Ovis aries: one gene and its partner. The protein of the gene in region 1 interacts with the protein of each later gene in a pairwise test. Links are inferred from orthologs where the notes say so. Each region holds a gene or a part of one and is shown in the gene's direction. Other genes may lie near its edges. The genes, in order: CLK4 and UBL5.

Region 1 (4,371 bases):
ACTCTGACACCAACTTTCGGTTCTCCTCTTCTTCTGATCATTCATTTTCAGGCTTTTTTCCTGCCCCGTAAGTGCTCCTTAGGGCTTAAATTTTGACCCTCTTTTCTTACATAAAGCTCACAATGGGAAACGGTCCAGGGATTCTTACAACTGGGAAATATCTTGTTTTAACTGGGCTCACTAGTTCTCAAATATTATTCTCCTGGAAACCTGGGTTCGATCTCTGGGTCGGGAAGATCCCCTGGAGAAGGAAATAGCAACCCACTCCAGTACTCTTGCCTAGAAAATTTCATGAATGGAGGAGCCTGGTGGGCTACAGTCCATGGGGTCGCAAAGAGTCGGACACGACTGAGCGACTTCACATTGGTACTTTGAATAAAACCCACAGGGGTAAATAAAAGGGAAAACTTTGTTAGGGAAACTTTAGCTGCCAAATCTGCTCAGGAGGCAGGTAGGGAGTCTCAACAGAAACTTCTCTTTTTGTTGCTGTTTCTCTCAGGAGCATAGACCTTAAAAAGATAAGCACCTCTGAGCTTGTTTCCTAGGCTATCCTCTTAATTATCGGAATCCATTTTTAGACAGGAAGTTGCAAGCAGGCTCAACTACACTATCCCCAGCACCAGTCTGGACCTGGTTACCGAGCCGATTTGGGGCTTGTCTCTTTCGTGATGACTGTGCCTGAGTTGAGGGATTGAGGGCCAGAGGAGAAGGGGACGACAGAGGATGAGATGGTTGGATTCCATCACTGACTCAATGGATATGAGTTTGAGTAAACTTCGGGAGTTGGTGATAGACAGGGAGGCCTGGCGTGCTGCGGTTCATGGGGTCGTAAAAAGTCGAACACGACTCAGCGACTGAACTGAACTGAGGTCCTCCGGTAGGCGGAAGGCAGGCAGCCAAAGTGCCATGGTGCGGCCCACTTGGGCGGAAGGGCAGGAAACGGAGCTTTCGTCGCCTCTGCTGAGAGGTGCAGCATTCAGAATAACCCCTCCCACAGCTGCAGGCAGGCGCCACAAGCTTAGGGCGTTTCCGCCCAGTTTGACCCAGGTGCTCCCAGAACGAAAACAATCTACGGCGCAGCCTCAACCAAAGCAGGTCTCAGGGCGCGGACTGCTCGGCGGGGAGAACTGCGTGGTGGAGGGCGGGGCCAGCCCTGACGTCACGTGGAGCCCGCCCCTTAGGGGTGGGGAGGGAGCGCGGGAGCTCTGTCACGCAGGCGCGTTCGCCTGGTGTGGGCGGCGCTAGAGGCTGCCGGGGGGTTGTAGGGAGACGGCGCTGCCGCCATTTTGTAGGGTGTTTGTCGCAGCTTTTGGAGAGAGAAGACGGCGGTTTGCCGACAATTCTCGGCCAAAGGGCCTTTTGTTTTTGCGGAGGTAAGGCTTCAGGCACTGTGTTCTGGGCTGGGCGGCTTCCCAGTTTTGTAAGTCTCGAAGCCAGGTGTCGGAAAAACGACGGGATTCGGGGCCTTGGCGACCGGGGTGCGCTTGGGACACAGCTCTGCTTGTGACATTTAAAACCTAAAGTTGCCCGGGCGTCATAGTAGATTTAAAATCTTAGGGATAAAAGGCCTCGGCTCTGCCGCTAGGTTTTTTCAGAGCACCCAGGCCTCTCGCATCATGGCAACTTAGGCCGTGCTTCGTCCCGCCGGTCAGAGGACCTGTCTTGGAACCCTTCTAGAACCGCCTGGAGCAAGTATACTCCTAGGTCAAACCTTCCCCTGGGTGCCTGTCCTCAGCTGTTGGTAGCATTCGGGGATTTTCCGGGGTCAAATCTCTTAAGTGCGCCAAAGGCCCTGGCCAAGTGCCCTGGCGGATAGGCTGGGGCTGTGGACTGGGCGTCCGAGGGCAAGTCTGCGAGTTCAGGTGGAATTTAGCTCGTGCTTATGAGATGTAAATATGGAGAGACTCATCCATTGTGCAAACTTTTTAAAGTGGAGCGTGTCATTATTGCAGCAGATTTGCATTTCTGATGCTTTTGAATCACACTGTCTTTCATTACTTAAGCAACCGTGGTATGCTTATCCTGTCCTTTGGAAACAGCACTCCAAACTGACCGGGTCAATCTCCTGATCTCATTTTATAGCTATCTTTGTATGCTTGTGTTCCATACATACACCTTCAGGCTTTTTGTTATCAGGTACATCCTCTTGGAGCCATCTAATCATAACTTTAACCTTTATAGATATTTTAAAGCCATATATATAGATATAAAATTGTTGGGTAAAATAGAGTGTTAAAAGGCAGTAGAGAATCAGGTTTCCAAGACGGATATAGACATATCTGGTGTTTTTTGTATCTGGTGTTTTTATTGGAAGATGTCTGATGGTTCTAACATGTAGAATTCTTACTAGTTAGAGGTAATGCAGTAATTTTAGGGGGTTGGGTTTTTGTTTTTGTTTTTTGTTTTGTATGTGAAGGAACTTAATTTGTGTAACCTGGGTCCGGGATTCTTTTCTTGGCCTCCTAAGAAAATAATTCTGAATAGCAGTGAAGGAGGGCTTCCTAACATGAATTAAAACGAAAGTAGTGAACTTGGCTAGAGAAATAAAAAACTTTGGCTCTCCCAAGACTGTTATTTTAATATTTGCACATTGATAACTGGTTATATAAGAATTACGTTTTGTTCACAGGTGAGCTAGTTTTGGCTGGCTGACAGTAGAAGGAAAAAACTGAAGCAGACATGTTTTGCAAAAACTATGTATTAGTCATAATAATAAGCATCAAACATCAGATGGGATTTTGCTTGGTATGATTTAAGAATGCTTAACTAAGCAATTTTAAAGTTCCTTTGTGATTAAAATACAGTTGGGGTAATCAAAGGGTCAGAAGAATTCCACTAAAAATAGAGTTCTTTTTATGGCTTTTCTGATGGTCTTTTTTGCTCCTTAATTTATAGTGTGATTTATTTCAGTTTCCCATATTCAAATGACCTATGAATAGGTCAAATCCAAATGCTCACTTACCAATTTCCAGTGAGAACCCTAACTAGAGTTTTAGAGCTTTTGTTTAACTTAACCAGTGCCTTGTCTGTCTTTTTTAAAGCAAGCTAAAAGAGAAGCTGCATATCAGAAGTATGTGTGATGGGCATAGCGTTAGAATCAGTAAGAGAAGTGAGTTAAAAGACCTGAGTATTAGTGGCTTCAGGCTTTGATGGCATTTTAGCTATATTTTCTTAGGAAATACCTCCCAGGAGATGCCTCATTTCAAAATCTTTTGTAAACCATTTGAAATCATTTAAGTTGTGTTACTTGAATTCATTTGCTTGTTACTGAGTCATTTGGTCAAACTGAAGGAGGTTAACTAAGCTGGCTTTGTTCCAGTTTACCTTTTTCAGCTCCTTGCTTGGTTGTGAAACTCAGGGCCTTCAACAGAGTTTGGACAGCTGTTAAAAACAAAGCTGCTTTGTGAAAGAGCTAAGATGTGGAGAGGCATAGAGATGACTTGTTAGAATACAGATCCTAAAAAACTTAATGAAGTTTGTAGGTTGCTGTCTGATTTCGGTGTGACCATATTCGTCCTTATAGGTTCATTTTCTTAGTCATGCCAGATCTACAACAGATATGTTTAATTTTAAGAAGGCTCCAGGATGATTTGAAAATAAACTTGTGGTTAGAAGAAATGAGTTCATAAAATGGCTTTTTATTGCTCTTCAGGTTCTCAGTTGAATACTGTGTTCTATTCACACCCTGAGTTCTATTCAAAGCTGAGAGTCATTCTCAAGATTTAGAGAATGGGACTCTTGACAGAGCAAAAGGATCTTCATTAGTGGCTCTTACCTTTAAAACAAAGTCATCTCCTGTATTAGTATCCCTAAGTATTTCTCTGACTTCAGTTATTTGTGTTACAGTGTTTTGCCAAAGGTGCATTATACTTGGTGATACTTGTTTTAAACTAGCTCACCTTTAAAGTTAACATCAATAACTTAGAGTTTGATAATAGCAGTAATTTAAGAGGTTATTAGTAATTTACCATAGGAAAAAGGTAAGAAAGCTTCCCAGATGGTGCAGTGGTAAAGAATCCACCTGCCAAGACAGGAGACACAAGAGAAAGACTCTAAGCCTGAATCCTGACTCTTTATTTTTAAAATAGCAGTTAGCGAATGTTAGTTGAAGACAAGCACCAAACTGAGAATTTATCCAGAATAATTGAAAAAGAAAGTATGAAGGTCTCACAGTGTTATCATTTAGTATCAGGATCTGTGTGCCACTTAGAATCAATCATCTGACATACCAGTGGGATAGTGCCCCCATGCCTTGAGAAACATTACCTACAAACATCTTAGAACCTCTGCGACCCCATGTCTTAGGTGTTTTTGTATTTAATCAATATTAATGTAAAGTACCGTATTTACTAAACAAGCCTTCTCTGATTC
Region 2 (3,615 bases), about 25 Mb from region 1:
GGATCTTCACGACCCAGGCAGGTGGGTTCTTTACCACTAGCGCCATCTGGAAGCCCGTTGAGACCATGCAGCTTAACATTAAGGAATGAGACTGAGGTTTTGATTCATCATCTGGATCTGTGTCTCCAATCTGAATAAACTTTCCATTAAGATTCCCTGCCCTCTGAAGCCCACTTAGTGGGATTCTGCAGAGGTTGGAGAAATAACAAATTTCTGCCCTGAGGCAGAAAAAAAGAAAAAGTCCTGAGGCAGGAAGGCCCTGGAGACTAGTGTTTGAGATGGCACTTCTTGAGCCAGTTCCTTAAGTCAGGGCAGCCCCAACAGGGTCGCAGAGTATCCATCCTTTCCCCAGGAAGGTATCTCAGGTCTTCTGCCTAATCTCACACCCTATTTTGAGAAGGTGGATTGGGTGAATCAGAAGTTGCCAGCCCCTTTTCAGAGTGAATCGTTTTAGGCTTGTCAAACTAGGAGAATTCTGTCTGCTGAGAAGAAACTGTTCAATAGTGAGTTCTACAGGCAGGTTGGATTTAGGAAGGGGTGTTCCCTGTCCCACCAGCTCTGGGGAACCATATCAGTCCGGGGGCTGCTCTGGGGCTGAAAAGCAAGGTTGGGATCTGGTACACAGCGCCCTCTGTAGGGCAGGAGCGACTTTCCTTGAAGTCAAAGATCTGGGAACTCTTGCACGTGTGCTGGTTTCCACCAGGTGGTTCCTCATCAGTGCTGCATTCTGGTAAGTGCTGAACTTCATTCTGGAGTGCTGGTAAGTGCTGGTACCCAGGCCAGAATCAGAAGACTCCTTCACTTACGGATTGTAGCCAGCAACCCAGATGTCCCTGGGGACAGGCGAGATAGCCAGAGGGGAGGGATTAGTAAAACGCTTCCGGGGTCCAGCCCTGAATGAAGGCAGGGGGACGTATAGTACAACTGCAGGACTTGATCCAGGCTCCCCGTAGCCCTGAAGCTTCTGTTAGAGACTTCGTTGGGCTCAGGAACAGGAGGTCAACCCTGTTCTCTCGGGATGTGCCTGGGCGTCCCCACCAGATGCTACACTAGAGGGTGTCTCGGCACAACGAAGGGCCTTCAACCAAGGGCCTCCGAAAGGCTGGACGCCGGTCCAAGACCTCTGACACTCCACTCCTCTCCCCAGCCGGGACCTTCACTCGGCCCAACGCTCCGTCCACAGGTGTCCCCCTGCCCAGGCTTGGAAGCCCAAAACCGCTCCTGGGAACTGCAAACCCACATCCTACCCTGGGATGAGCACTCCGCGGCGTGTTGACAGGCACCGGGGGGAGGGGTGGAGCTTCCGGCTGCGCACTTCCGCTTCCTGTTTTAGCGTAGGTTCTTAGTGTCTGCTCTGGCCTAGGCTTAGCAGTCGTGCTAGGAGGTTGTGGCGTCTGCTGCTTCCAGGCGATTTGAGGTGAGGGGGCCAGGTAGAGGAGTCCGGAGTCCGGGAAAGGTGAGGGGACCCGGCCTTCGAGGATCCGCCGGCCTGAGAGAGGCTCGGCTCGGTCTTCAGGCTACCTGGAGTGGGTCGGGGCCTGGGCGGGTTGCTGGAGGGGAGGAGCACGGCTGCCCGGCGTCCGCGGTAGCCCTGGGGTCCGAAGTCCTGGGACACGGAACTTGGAGCCTGGGGAGACTCCGATCTGGGGGAATGATGGGGACGTGAACGTTAAGTTTCAATAACCGGGGGTCTTGCGATCTAGGGGACCCCTGAAGTCCCGACTCAGTTGCCTCCCAGTCCCCGCCTTGTGTTGCTCCAGCCAGGATGATTGAGGTTGTTTGCAACGACCGTCTGGGGAAGAAAGTGCGCGTTAAGTGCAAGTATCCACTGGCGACCAAGTGGCTGTGGCTTCCTGGGGGTGCTTGGCATGAGGCAGGCAACTCAATCTTTGTTTTAGGGTGATTGTAGTTAAACCCGGGGGTTGGGGTGGGAATGGGGAGAGTCCCCTTTCCATTTTCCTTAACTCCTCTGCGTCCAGTACGGATGACACCATCGGGGACCTGAAGAAGCTGATCGCAGCCCAAACTGGCACCCGTTGGAACAAGATCGTATTGAAGAAGTGGTGAGTACAGGGGTCGAACTAGGGGCTGGACAGGAGCAGGCCAGAAGGGTTTGGTTGGGGGAGGGCTGCAGCCAGCCCTTTGTTTAGGCAGAACTTTTTTAGCTGGTCTCGGGGGTGAAGAGCCTCCTTAGACTTTTTTCTAAAAAGTTTTTATCCCACAGGTACACGATTTTTAAGGACCACGTGTCTCTTGGGGACTGTATCCTTTTTTGACTTTTTGAGGAAGGATCTACATACCCAGACTTGGTTCTCTATGTTCAATACTCAGGTCTGTATGAGGTTATGCACATAAGCTATTTAACTTAGAACGTGGCACATAGTAAGTATTTAGAGTGGGAGCCATCTCATTATTTTGTTGGGGGAGGAGGGTGGTTGGTGAAATATTTTGACTTGGCTTGTAAGACTTTGACACTTTCTGGTCAAAATATTTATTACTAAGCTCCACCTGAGTGGGGACAGGAGACCAGGGTGGAACGAGATTCCAGGATGTCTGTTGTGCAGAAGGAACATGAACTTTTTACAAAGTTTGGATTCGTTCCAAATCAAAATGATCCAGTCCCAAATGTGCAGTCGTGAGAGATGGGGATGGGGATGGAGCCCACCATAAGGATTCCTTAACACCTTCACTTCAGATGAAATCCACGATGGGATGAACCTGGAGCTTTATTACCAATAGAGCAGAATTCCTTCTTCCTGCCCTTCCCCCTCCTCCCACCCTCACTCCCCACACTAATATGGATGCTTGTTTTTGGAAACTCTCATTAATAAAAACTTAGAGGCTGCTTTGTTGTCATCTTTGAGTGAGACTTATCTCTTGAGGGGAGGGTTGGTATCTGGTTGTCACTGTATTCTCAGTACCCACTCAGCTGCTCAGTAAGACTTCAAGATTGGATCAAGGAGGGAGCCAGTTGACTGGGAACCTGAGTGAAAGACCAGAGCTCTGGGGCTAGCCATGTCTCTGAGCCTCCCTGGTGGCTCAGACAGTAAAGAATCCGCCTGCTATGCGGGAGACCTGGGTTTGATCCCCTGGAGAAGAGAATGGCAATCCATTGCTGTATTCTTGCCTGGAGAATTCCATGAACAGAGGAGCCGGGCAGGCTACAGTCCATGGGGTCACAAAGAGTTGGACACAACTGAGTGACTAACACTTTTCTGAAGGTCAAAAGATCCTGGGATTATTGTCATCAATAGACCAAGGATCCTCTGGGCAAGGACCTTAGTAGAATTAATAATTAGGAATACAGGTTTAGATTCAGACAGACTAGGGGTGGAACCCCAGCCCTACCACCAACTGTGACCCTGGGTAGTTACTTAATCTCCCTTAACCTTCATTTCCTTATCCAATCTGGAACTGATTGTGTTTACTTCATTGGTATGTTGTGAAGTAGAGATGAGATAAGCATGATTAAGCAGCCATAGTTCTTGACACCTATGAAATGCTAGTGGACAGAGTAAAACAGTGTGACCTAGGCTATTCAGCCCTTGCTGATCCTCCGTTTCTTCCTCTAAAAAGGGGCACCATGATGACACTCACATCTCCATGAGATAATAA

Evidence for each region.
Region 2: the proteins of CLK4 (region 1) and UBL5 interact in a two-hybrid assay, tested with the Homo sapiens proteins (2 studies listed by BioGRID and IntAct). The link is inferred for Ovis aries from reciprocal best matches to the Homo sapiens genes CLK4 and UBL5.

What each region holds. Positions count from the first base shown.
Region 1 is NC_056058.1:37,441,352-37,445,722, reverse strand, and holds the start of CLK4 (dual specificity protein kinase CLK4), read left to right. Parts: upstream 1-1,288; 5' UTR 1,289-1,373; intron 1,374-4,371. UniProt on the Homo sapiens protein: Dual specificity kinase acting on both serine/threonine and tyrosine-containing substrates.
Region 2 is NC_056058.1:12,275,737-12,279,351, forward strand, and holds UBL5 (ubiquitin-like protein 5), read left to right. Parts: upstream 1-1,344; 5' UTR 1,345-1,456; intron 1,457-1,703; 5' UTR 1,704-1,765; coding exon 1,766-1,821; intron 1,822-1,979; coding exon 1,980-2,063; intron 2,064-2,224; coding exon 2,225-2,262; intron 2,263-2,695; coding exon 2,696-2,739; 3' UTR 2,740-2,845; downstream 2,846-3,615. UniProt on the Homo sapiens protein: Ubiquitin-like protein that plays a role in cell proliferation and sister chromatid cohesion by associating with spliceosomal proteins. Participates thereby in pre-mRNA splicing by maintaining spliceosome integrity.